Linked DNA regions of Coturnix japonica. The protein of the gene in region 1 interacts with the protein of each later gene in a biochemical or structural test. Links are inferred from orthologs where the notes say so. Each region holds a gene or a part of one and is shown in the gene's direction. Other genes may lie near its edges.

Region 1 (5,120 bases):
ACATCCTGCTGGGTTTTGTACTCCAAAGAGGTACATTTCGTATGCTTGCATAAAGTCAGCTGAATCAATAACTGAAGCCTTCCTGTGCATTTTTCCGGAGGGAAGGAGTCAGGAGGGCCAGTCTGTCTTAGCTGACACCCCACCGTGCAAGCGCGAGGAACTGAGATCAGCGGTCGGTGTGAAACCGCACGACGGAGCGCAGCCTGGCCGGCCGCGGTAATATTAGAAGCCTCCGTTATACCTCGGTCTTACATCGCCCTTCTTCGAAAAGCCGCCGGCTAATCGGCAAGCCTACAGCGGTGAAGAGGGGAGAGCACTTCTTTATGGCGTGCAAGCTGACCGGAAACAAGCTGGGGATAATCTCGAGCTCTCCTCCGGCCAGCAGCTCGCTTCTAAGGGCAGACGGGGAGACGTATGGGACCGCCCGGCAGCGCTTTGGGCTCTGCCCGCACCCTGGAGCTGTGCTCCGTCCCCCCCTGGCGGCAGCGGCGGTCCCGGTGGGTCGGTGCTTGTTAGGGGTGGTCCCGCTCTCCTCTCCTCGCTCCCGTGACACCCCTCTATTGAATGAATACCCAGGCTGACAGTCCTACTTCGACTATTATAGAGTGTTCAAAAGTTAAAGATCTCTAATATAATTTCGAGCTAAATTTTCACTTTCTTACTTCTCTTGGTTTGGCAGCACTTCGGCAACACCAGAGCCCTTATACCTGGCCTATTCTTAAGTTGTGGTTTCTCCTGTCCACTGTTTGCACTTGCCATACAAGTCAGGGAGCAATCTGTAGAGCTGTATTTACCATTGTGCAAAACATCTGGTGTTCTGCTTGTATACTGTGTGTGAGAAGCCCTCATCTGTGAGTGTGATTAAGATGACCAACCGACACTCCACTCGGTCAGCTCATGTGCCTGTTGTATTTCTCATACCACACTCATCTCCATGGTGTCCGAGAGCCTTCAGCTCCTTTTCTCCATCCATACTCAAGACCATGGTGTCTGTATGTGAGAAACCTAATCACATGAAGAGCAGCTTAGGGAATTGCATGAGTACTTAAGGAACATATAAGGCTCAACATGGTGCCCTGTCATTCTATAAAATAATAGAAAAAGGCAGCAGAAAAATAGCTATATGAAAATGCAACCGTAAAATTATCTTTATAGCTTTCACATGTTCCCTTTTTCTTATTTACAGAAACCCAGACACTGAAGAAAACTATGATGATGTTGAATTTCTTTTACAGGGTAGGATGGGTAAGTTTTAAATAATAACAGCTATATGAAGCTGTAAGTAAATTGTATTTGTAAGAGAAGCAAAAGCATATTGTATCTTAATGTGCTTGTGAGTGATTGATGTAACTGATTATTCTGGTACTGCAGTTTTATAAACGAAGAAGTTTTTCTCATAACAGCTGTTTTACAATTAATATGACATCCTTTCAGGAACTGCTTTAAATATCTCTCTTCCACTCTCCTCCCCTAGTCTCCCTGTTTTTGTTTTGTTGTTGTGTTGAGTATAATGGGTCTGCAAATTACCAGATTTTAAAAACCAAACCGAATTAATGCTGTTCTTTCAGAGTTGAAGCTGTGCACTCCAGGCATTTTTTTATACTTGATTAAGAAAATAATAATATCTTGATTGTGCTTCTAGTGTTTCTTTCTGAGCTGCCTTCTGTAAAAGGCAGTGAGTGGCTGTGCTGTACCAGGAGCAGCCAGAGAAGCAAGCAGATTGCAACACAAAGAATTTCAATCTGCCTTCTGATCTCTCTTCTGGAGGCATCAGTCTGTGCCAGGCACAGTATGTGTCCTTTAGAGTGATGGCCATCCGTGCTGTACAGCACTGTGGGCACTGGAGCTGCATCTGAGCCCAAGCTCTTTGCTTACCAAACCTATCTGTGCAGGGAGGAGGAAGTGGTGGATTCAGATTTCCTCCTTCTGCAGCTCAGGACAGACACCGGCTTAACAGGAAAAGCTTTGCACCCCCTAAACAGCTGCAGGGTTGGTGCAAGAAAGTTGTTTGTGGTCTGCTCAGACCAAGTTGTCTTTTTTTTTTTAATGTTGATTTTACATTAAAATTCCATAGTTAAGTTTGTCAGTGTCACAGATGAATCTTGAAAACAAATTTTTCACTTCTAAAACTGTGGCAAAATAAGCTATTTTTTACAAAACAGCAGGTGAAGTGAAGTGTTTAAAGCAGGTATGACCACTTTACAATGTACAAGAAAAAGTACCTTGAAAACCTCTGTTTTTTACACTCTCAGATCCTCACTGAAAGTAAGAGCCTGCATTTATTTCCATTTAATACCACTTGTGTTTTAGCAGTCTGTAAAGAATTAAGACTAGATTGAATTGCTTTTGTACAACAGAAAATTAACATCCTGATTTTTATTTTTGGTTACGCAGGTCCTGGAAATAAAGATGGGGTAAGCGTTATCCTCCCTGATAAATTTATCCTTTTTAGTGCAAGTTACTTCCAATTAATTAGAAAATGAGTTGTGGAATGAATCTGGCCACACTGACAATAAATCGTAGAAGTATTTATTATGCAGGACATAAATAAAACTGTGTAAGCAGAGCTAACTATCAAAGCTGGCTTGACATTAGTTTACTTTTTTAACAAAAAAAGAGTGTTTTTGTTGTTGTTGCTGCTGCTTTTCTTTAAAAACAAAACAAAACTTCTATTTCTTTTGACATTTAATCTCATTGGGCTTTCCCAGAAACAAGAGCCCTGTTCCATTATAGTAATAAATGACTTGCGTCAGCTGAGCATAGGTTTGTCTTGATATATGTGAGTACCTGGCTGAACTAGGACTAAAACAGGTTCTCAGACCCTAATCTGACTTCCATTTAGATACCAGGCACTCCAGAGTGGGATGTTAGTTACTGCTACTAACTGTGGCACTTTCATCATAGCAATGCAATAATCATTGCAGATAAAGGGTTTCCAGGACTAGCATTGCAATTTAAAACATCCACTTTTGATGAAGCATTGTGCTGCTGTGATAGCAACAATCAAGGGCACTATAGCTGATATCATAAATACAAAGTCAGGAGAAAAAAAAGGATGGGTATGAAAATCTTTCTGTAAATGTTTTTATATAGTCTGTAAAGCTCATATAACAGGTTCTTCTTTTCAGATGTATCTAAACCATTTTAAATGATTTTTGTCTTACAGGACCAAGGAAGTGATGGAGAGATGTATGAGGACATAAATGACATCAGGTATTAATTTAAAACCCTGTAGCCTATTAGCAAAAACCTACAAACCCCTGTATTTTTATTAGCAAAAGCTTCCTAGAAGAGGTGCTTCATGTGGCACAATAGAAGTGATTCCAGTGCAGTTGCTACCAAGCATTATTGGATTCATCCATTTGACTTAGGGAAAGTCATATTGTTCACAGGTTATTTCTAACTTTTATCTCATATGCCCTGGGGTGAAAAAAAAATCCTTAATAAAACAATGTTATTACTGTGAGTTAGGTAAAAGGAAAGTCTGATTTCTGATCTAATGAACATGTATGAATCCCTGTTTGGAATTACTGCTTAGAAGCAAAAGCAAGGTCAGCCCCCTCAGTATTATGAACTCACAGAGATCCTTTTGTTGTGGTTGTTCTTGCTTTGTATATAAGTGAATTTGTATGAGTGACTGGATTTACAGCTCACATGGACCAAGACTCCTGGCATTTCTGTAGAGCTGAAATCAGAGCTCTGCTCACTTGTTAGCCCTTCATTCTGAGGAGTGTCTCACTGCACTAATAGCTAGGTATATGGGATTCATTGTATGCTAGGATGTAAAGAAACATTCTAATTCCTTTGGAATAAATGAGATTCTGAAGTTCCTCCACCAAAATATTGTTTCTGAAGTAGAATGACTTTCAGCATTAATTTCTTGTTAAATTCCCTTCGAAAAGTTACAGCAAAGCTGTAACTATCATCCTACTTATATCCCCACATCTTAGTACAGTCTGGCATGAAATGCATCACAGGCAATGTACCCTGGTGTATTAGGCCCACTTACAATGCAGTACACTTTATGTTGACCACTGGAATATCTTTCAATTAAGTTTAAAATAGCATGATCCTGATAGGTTCAGGCTTCAGTTCAGGCTTTGTGAACCACTGATGGCCTGGATATGTATTTGGCATCTAAGTTTGCTACCAATTTCCAGGCCTCCTTATCAAAATTAGCCTAGAACTGTTTGGACGTGCACATGCAGAGCCAGCCTTCCTTTCTGCTATATTGTCTTGAAAACAGCTGCTTTAGATTATGTATGTAGTATAAGAGAGAGGGCTACTTCTTCAATCTTTTACAACCGTGTTTGGGTTTAGAATTTGCTTCTTTGGTTTCCCTGGGAGAAGTAGTCTTCTGTCAGGTGTAGCTGCTTTTGATGTTGGGTAAGAAACCTTTACTAAGACTTGCACTGTTGTTAATTCTAGAACATCAAGGGAAAAAGAGAAGAAGTCAGAAAAGGAAGAAAAGAGAAGATTGGACCAAGAAAAGAAAGAACAAAAAGAAAAAGAAAAGAAAGAGCAGGAAATAAGGAAGAAATTCAAAGTAAGCACTTTGTTTTGTACACTGGGCAAAGACATCTAAGATTCATTAATCAGCATTGTTGAGTTCAAAATAGTTTTGCAGACGGGTGAGAAGTGTATTTGTTCTGCTAGGTAGGTCAAGCACCTGGATAAATCCTGAGTACAGTTTTCACCTACCCTTTTATGTTTGGCATATGACTGATTTCATACTCTGTAATGAAGACAAAGACGTTTTTTCAGTGTTTATGCTGTATTCATTAAGTTCCCTTATGTTCTATTTAGGAAAAGAAAAAAAGCCTTAAAAGCATTTTTCTTCACTTTTTAGTTTAAAATAATTTTCCTTCACTGAATAGCACCAAAAACCCTTTATAAAAATGGAAATTGGGGACCATATACTTCATATTGTTTGCATAACTCAAGCTAGATACAACCATATTGAGCCTCTAAGAGATTTCAGCATTAAATAGCATCACATTACCCTTGCCTTAGTCTCCAACTCAGAGGGACTTCTGGCTTAAATGGGTTGGAAGGGTGTATGATACATTTGTATGGGAGCTACAGTTACTGTCAGAGCTTAAGATCTGAGTTATGAGTTA
Region 2 (5,120 bases), on another chromosome or scaffold:
ACTGTTATCACAGAAGACATCTCTGAGGTTGCAGTGGTTGAAAGCTGATATATCATGGCTATCTTCTCTACGCTGTGATGCTGCAGTGCTTCTGAATGCTGATAGCCTTATATTTATGAATAGATGTGGTTGGGACAGTTATATTACTCTGATCACATCACAAATAAGCAGCCCAAGTTGTCGTTACTTGCATGGGGTTTCAGTTTTGGTTCAGTCCAAGAGGCTGTTTTGCAGTTTTCCTCTAAAGGCTGAAACAGTGGTTCTTAATGTGACTTGAGTTGGTTTTCTGTTGGCAGATGGGTAGAAAAGAACAACAAGTGTTGGTTGGGGTGTGGGCACAGGAGAGATGCACACAGCCTCTAAATACCTTTCAGCTCTGCTCTCTGAGTGATGATTAACTCAGAGATTTAGTGCTGCCATTAAAAGGTTATTTACTCACCAGACTGGGGTGGCTGTGACATAACTCTTACAATGCTGTGCTCTGCGTGTGGGATTAAAGTGGATGACTGCAATTGCCTCTAGAAACCCTCCTGAAGCACTTGATGAAATCTCAACTGTTTTCCTTTTTATTCCTTCCCCCCCTCTCTTACCTTTGGTAGCTGCAGGAAATGAAAGGGAGAGTCCTGTAAACTTTCGGAGTGGATCACAGAGAGCAATCTATAAACATCAAGAATATAACGTTACTGACAAGCAGTAAAACTAACATTGGGGTGATTTACTCCGGAGCTGCTTACATATTGCTCTTCCTGATCCACTTGGAGAGTTTATGGTCAGGCTTTCTTTTTCATTTCCTGGTGCTATAAACATTGTGGCTGGCTCTGAAAAGGGCTCTGCCTGCTTTGCAGGAGGGACCACAGTTCTGTTATAACTTATCCAGCAGCTGATCTGTGCTGACATGGCAGCAAGTAAATACCATATTGCAGCTGATGGCATGCTCACGGAGCTGATCTGTGCTTAAAAAGGGCACAAGAGCAGCTGATGTTGGCCCAGTTTGTGGTTCTTGTTTGTTCTCATTGCAGCCTGCAAGGGTTTCTCTCGCTGGCTGATCTCTACAGTGTTGTCTTAAAGCTGATTTGTACATAATAAACTGTCCCTTCAGCCTCCATCTCTTCTTACATTAAGTTTCTCAGGGCAAGGTTATGTTCTTGGTGCCTAGATATGTGTATGTGGTTCTTACTTATGTTATTTGTAAGCAGTGCAAGTCCAGCACTGTTTTGTTTGTCCTAAGTCAGTGCTGTATCTTGGAGGGGGAATTAAAACAGTGTAGAGATGTGCTGAAAATGAAACTTAACCAAAGCAAAAGATCCAGCAGAGCCTCAGTGGGATACCAGGCAGGGTGAGGGTGTTCTCTCCTCCTTCTTCAGGCTGCATCTCTCTGCTCCTCTTCATCACTGTAAAGACAAAGTGGGAAGGGATTCCTGTTTGTGGGGGTGCACATCTGCCCCGCTTCCTGAGCACACAGCTTGCTCTGTCCTTGCTTCTGTCCTTTGCTTCAGAAAGATGCGTTTCTCTATTTCCCCTCCAGCTCTCAGCCTTTCTTATGTTTGCCATAAATAGGTGATGAAAATAAGAGCTCGTGACTTTAGCAGGGGGAGTTATTCATTTCTCCTGTGGCACTTTGATCTTCTGTGCTCGCAGGTAGAGGAACTGTTTTGTTAAGGAGCTATAAAGGTTCCTGGGGCATGCTGAGCAGTGCTGGCTGCTGTACCGGCAGCTGAAGCATAAGGAGCTGCAAGTCTTGCAAGCAGGATATTAAACTGACATTAGTGTCACAGTATGGGGCGTGAATTAAAGGTTGGAGAGGGCTGTGGGTGTACAGCATCACAGCTTTGAAGCCAAGCTTTGCTAGAGGAAAGCAGCAGTAAAGCTGCCGGAGGACAGGGATGATGATGCTTTCATTTACAGAGCAGGTGTGGTTGGAAATGTTCTGTTTTTCTAAGAGGCTTCTGTTAGGAGTATAAATATTCATCCAAATAGAAGGCACTTAATCTACCTGTAGTCTCTTTGTCTTTCAGTTCAGGTTAGATTTCTACACCTAGCTGTGCTTTTCAAGTGAGAGAGTATCACATTTACTTCTGCCAAGCTGTCCTGTTGGGCAAGCACAATGTATCTGAGCATTAGCAGAGAACGTGGTGTGATATATCTGTATGTGGGTGAGTGCACAACCAACCTAGTGTTCAATGCCTGCTCCTTAGGAGGGTTATTTCAGTGAAAACCACAAGCTGGGATTTCATTTAAGTGATGGGTGTAAGGTGTCCGCTGTATTAGAAGTGTTTTGGCTACTTCTGTGAATGGCAGCCTTTCATAGCAGTGGATTTTTAGGGTTTGGGGATGTAGGGAGGTATATAGGAGGTGTTGGGTGCTGCACACAACAGAGTAAGGCAGTGGTTAATGAGAGAAGTAAATGCATGTGGTGGAAGAGTGATGTTCATGCAAGGCATCTGACCTGAGCTAACTCTAATTGCTGGGTGTCAGTGGGGGACAGACCCACTGGAAGCTGTGAATCCTGGTGTCTCATGGTGGGCTGACAGTCTGTCTTCCTCATATCTGCACTAGGGCTTTCTGATCCTTGAGATGCTGATGCTGTTCTCATCCAAGGATGGGTAGCATTAGCTTCCCATTAGCTTTAACTTGTTCCTTTCCCTTTACTCAGATGCTGAGTGCTTCCTGGTGGATGGACTGCAGAATGAAAACTTGAGCCCTAAAGCAAGGGAGCAGAGGAACACGATTCTCTTTGGCTTCCAGCAAGCCAAAGCCAGGTATGTGTTGTCTCTGTATGTGTCTCCTAATGAACAGTGCCATAACTTGGGGTACTGCATGCTGTATTCAGGCAATGGGACAATTGGCCTGTGCTTTGGAAGATAATGAGCATTCAGGAGCTGCTATAATTGAGAGTATGCTGTGTCCTTCTGTTTACATCAGCTGGTTATATTTGGTTGTCTGTGGAGTTAACAGACTCCAAAGGTAGGCAGTGATGCTTCTTAAAGCAGGAAACATGATTTGGGCAGCATCTGTACAGCTCTTTGCATACGAATCTGATGCTCTTCTTCCTTCACCACGGTGCTATTGGGGGTTTTGTGTATAGGGGGGAAAATCCATTACTTGATGCTGAGATATGTGGATAAATCAGTACAGTATACAAAGGCTCACACTGCTGGCTTGCTGCTGAAAGTATCCATTCCATGTGTGGCTCCTGAGCCCAAATACACATTGCATGTAATCTGGCACAGTAAAAAGGAGAGAAGATGATTTCCTATGTTAAACCTCTGAACTGTGTTCCCAAACCTGATGACCTCAGCCTTGTTCAGGTCTTGAATGAGGGTGGGAGCTGCGTCACTTGGATTCAAGAGCAAAGCAGACAAAGGTTGTGTTGCGGTGCTAGGGGAGGATCAAGGAACATAAAACAGAAAGCATGTTGCTGGAGGCTTAAATGCAACTTGGAGCCTCAGCTGCATTATATTTCTGGCTGGAAATGTGATGTATAGCTTGTTGTTAGTGTTCTAGTTAAAAGATATGAGTTGTGTCATTTGAAGTTAAGACCTGACAATAAAACTCAGGGTGGCTGAGTGATGGAAGCATCCCATTGAAATAAAACTGCTGTCAAGTCCCTGAGATGTAGAGAGTTTTATCCTTTGGAAGGGCACAGCCAGATCCTATTCCCTGCAGTCCCACTGAAGAACTTTGCAAGATGCCCTGCTGTATCTTAATCGATCTTTCCTGCTGGCTAATTATGCATCAGTTTTACTCAGCAACACGGGACTGTGTAATTATCAGCCTGGGTTGCCCTGAATAATTGAAACAAACGGGATGCAGAAGATGGAAGCCTTTGGAAATGGGGCTGTGATGTATCTAAGGTGCGTCTGGCAGTGCCTTGTAGTGCTGGGGAGGAACCTTTTGGTGTGGGTGGGTGCAGAGGGCTGATGTGGCTTCTGAGACATTGCCAGGTAGTGACTTTGGGTTGGAAAGAGTGAAGTAAACAGGACTATGAAACTAAAGTATTCAGACATTAAGTCAAGCTTATATTTATTCCCAGCGATCTTGAGAGCTTAGGAGTGATATATCCTTGTATGATCCAGCACTAGGTCTGTCTTGAATGAATTTTACAACCAGTACCATGGAACCTGATCAATGTGTGAAGTCCTGGATGTTCAGGTTAAGATATGGGCCCCAGCCCCGCTGCTTATTGAAACAGATTGCCAGTAAATGTGGAGGTGGAAGTGAGACCCATAGTAAAGAGCACAGGGCACTGCTGATTTCCTCCTTGTGTTTTATTGCTCGGTGGCATTTGGAAATGGTGAGAAGAGCAGTGTACAAATGCTCTCCTTCTGCCCTGAGCCATTAACGCAATGGTTTGTGGTGGGAGATGACTGTAATGATGACTCTCTTTTTATCTGAAAGGCTCTGAGCAAGCCCTGCTCCTGGTAGGGTGCACAGGTCTGTCCCTTTGGGGCTTCTTGTGGCTTCGTGGCTTCTGCTCAGGAAATCAGCAGCAGTCATGCTCAGGAAGCGCTGTATAACACAGTATAGGGTTTCATTGTTTGGGTTCATCATGGACATAAGTAAACTGCTGAACTACCAGGGAGAGACACACGGTCTCTGAAAGGGAAGAGCTTCATCTCAGCTGATTATCCTGAGCCGCTCTCATAAGTGTTCCTGTAACTTCAGGTCTTTGTATGGCAGCTCTCCCCATGGCCTCATAAGAGCCCCCGCCAGGAGGGCCCTGATGGCTGTAACAGGAACAAGTGCTGGGGCTCTGTCTCCACACATTACCTGGGAGGATATATTGTTCCCCTCTTGCCAGGAGGAGTGCGGTAGGTAGGGGCTGGATTATATTTGCAGCTTATATATGTATATATATTGAGGCAGTTAAGGGTATTTCTGCTCAAGGAGCTGTGTTAGAGGCACTGCCACAGTGCTTGTGGGAAGGCTGTCACCATACAGCTGAGTTACGAGTCCCTGTGCTGTTTTACTTTCAGAAACCATTTGGTTATTTAAAGTGTGTCACTGCATTGAAAAAATGTGGTGTTTTCTTTTGGTTCCCCCCTCTCTTTGCAAACTTGGACCCTGTTCTATTTTCTGATTTCATACACAAAACCTGGCGGTATATACATCCTTTTTTC

The links. The genes of interacting proteins can lie anywhere in the genome.
Region 2: the proteins of FYB1 (region 1) and SKAP1 form a complex in vitro, tested with the Homo sapiens proteins (2 studies listed by BioGRID and IntAct, with this or other methods). The link is inferred for Coturnix japonica from reciprocal best matches to the Homo sapiens genes FYB1 and SKAP1.

The regions. Positions count from the first base shown.
Region 1 is NC_029547.1:11,245,342-11,250,461, reverse strand, and holds part of FYB1 (FYN-binding protein 1), read left to right. Parts: intron 1-105; coding exon 106-216; intron 217-1,186; coding exon 1,187-1,245; intron 1,246-2,394; coding exon 2,395-2,414; intron 2,415-3,166; coding exon 3,167-3,213; intron 3,214-4,428; coding exon 4,429-4,546; intron 4,547-5,120. UniProt on the Homo sapiens protein: Acts as an adapter protein of the FYN and LCP2 signaling cascades in T-cells. May play a role in linking T-cell signaling to remodeling of the actin cytoskeleton. Modulates the expression of IL2. Involved in platelet activation.
Region 2 is NC_029542.1:3,286,170-3,291,289, forward strand, and holds part of SKAP1 (src kinase-associated phosphoprotein 1), read left to right. Parts: intron 1-2,653; coding exon 2,654-2,759; intron 2,760-5,120. UniProt on the Homo sapiens protein: Positively regulates T-cell receptor signaling by enhancing the MAP kinase pathway. Required for optimal conjugation between T-cells and antigen-presenting cells by promoting the clustering of integrin ITGAL on the surface of T-cells.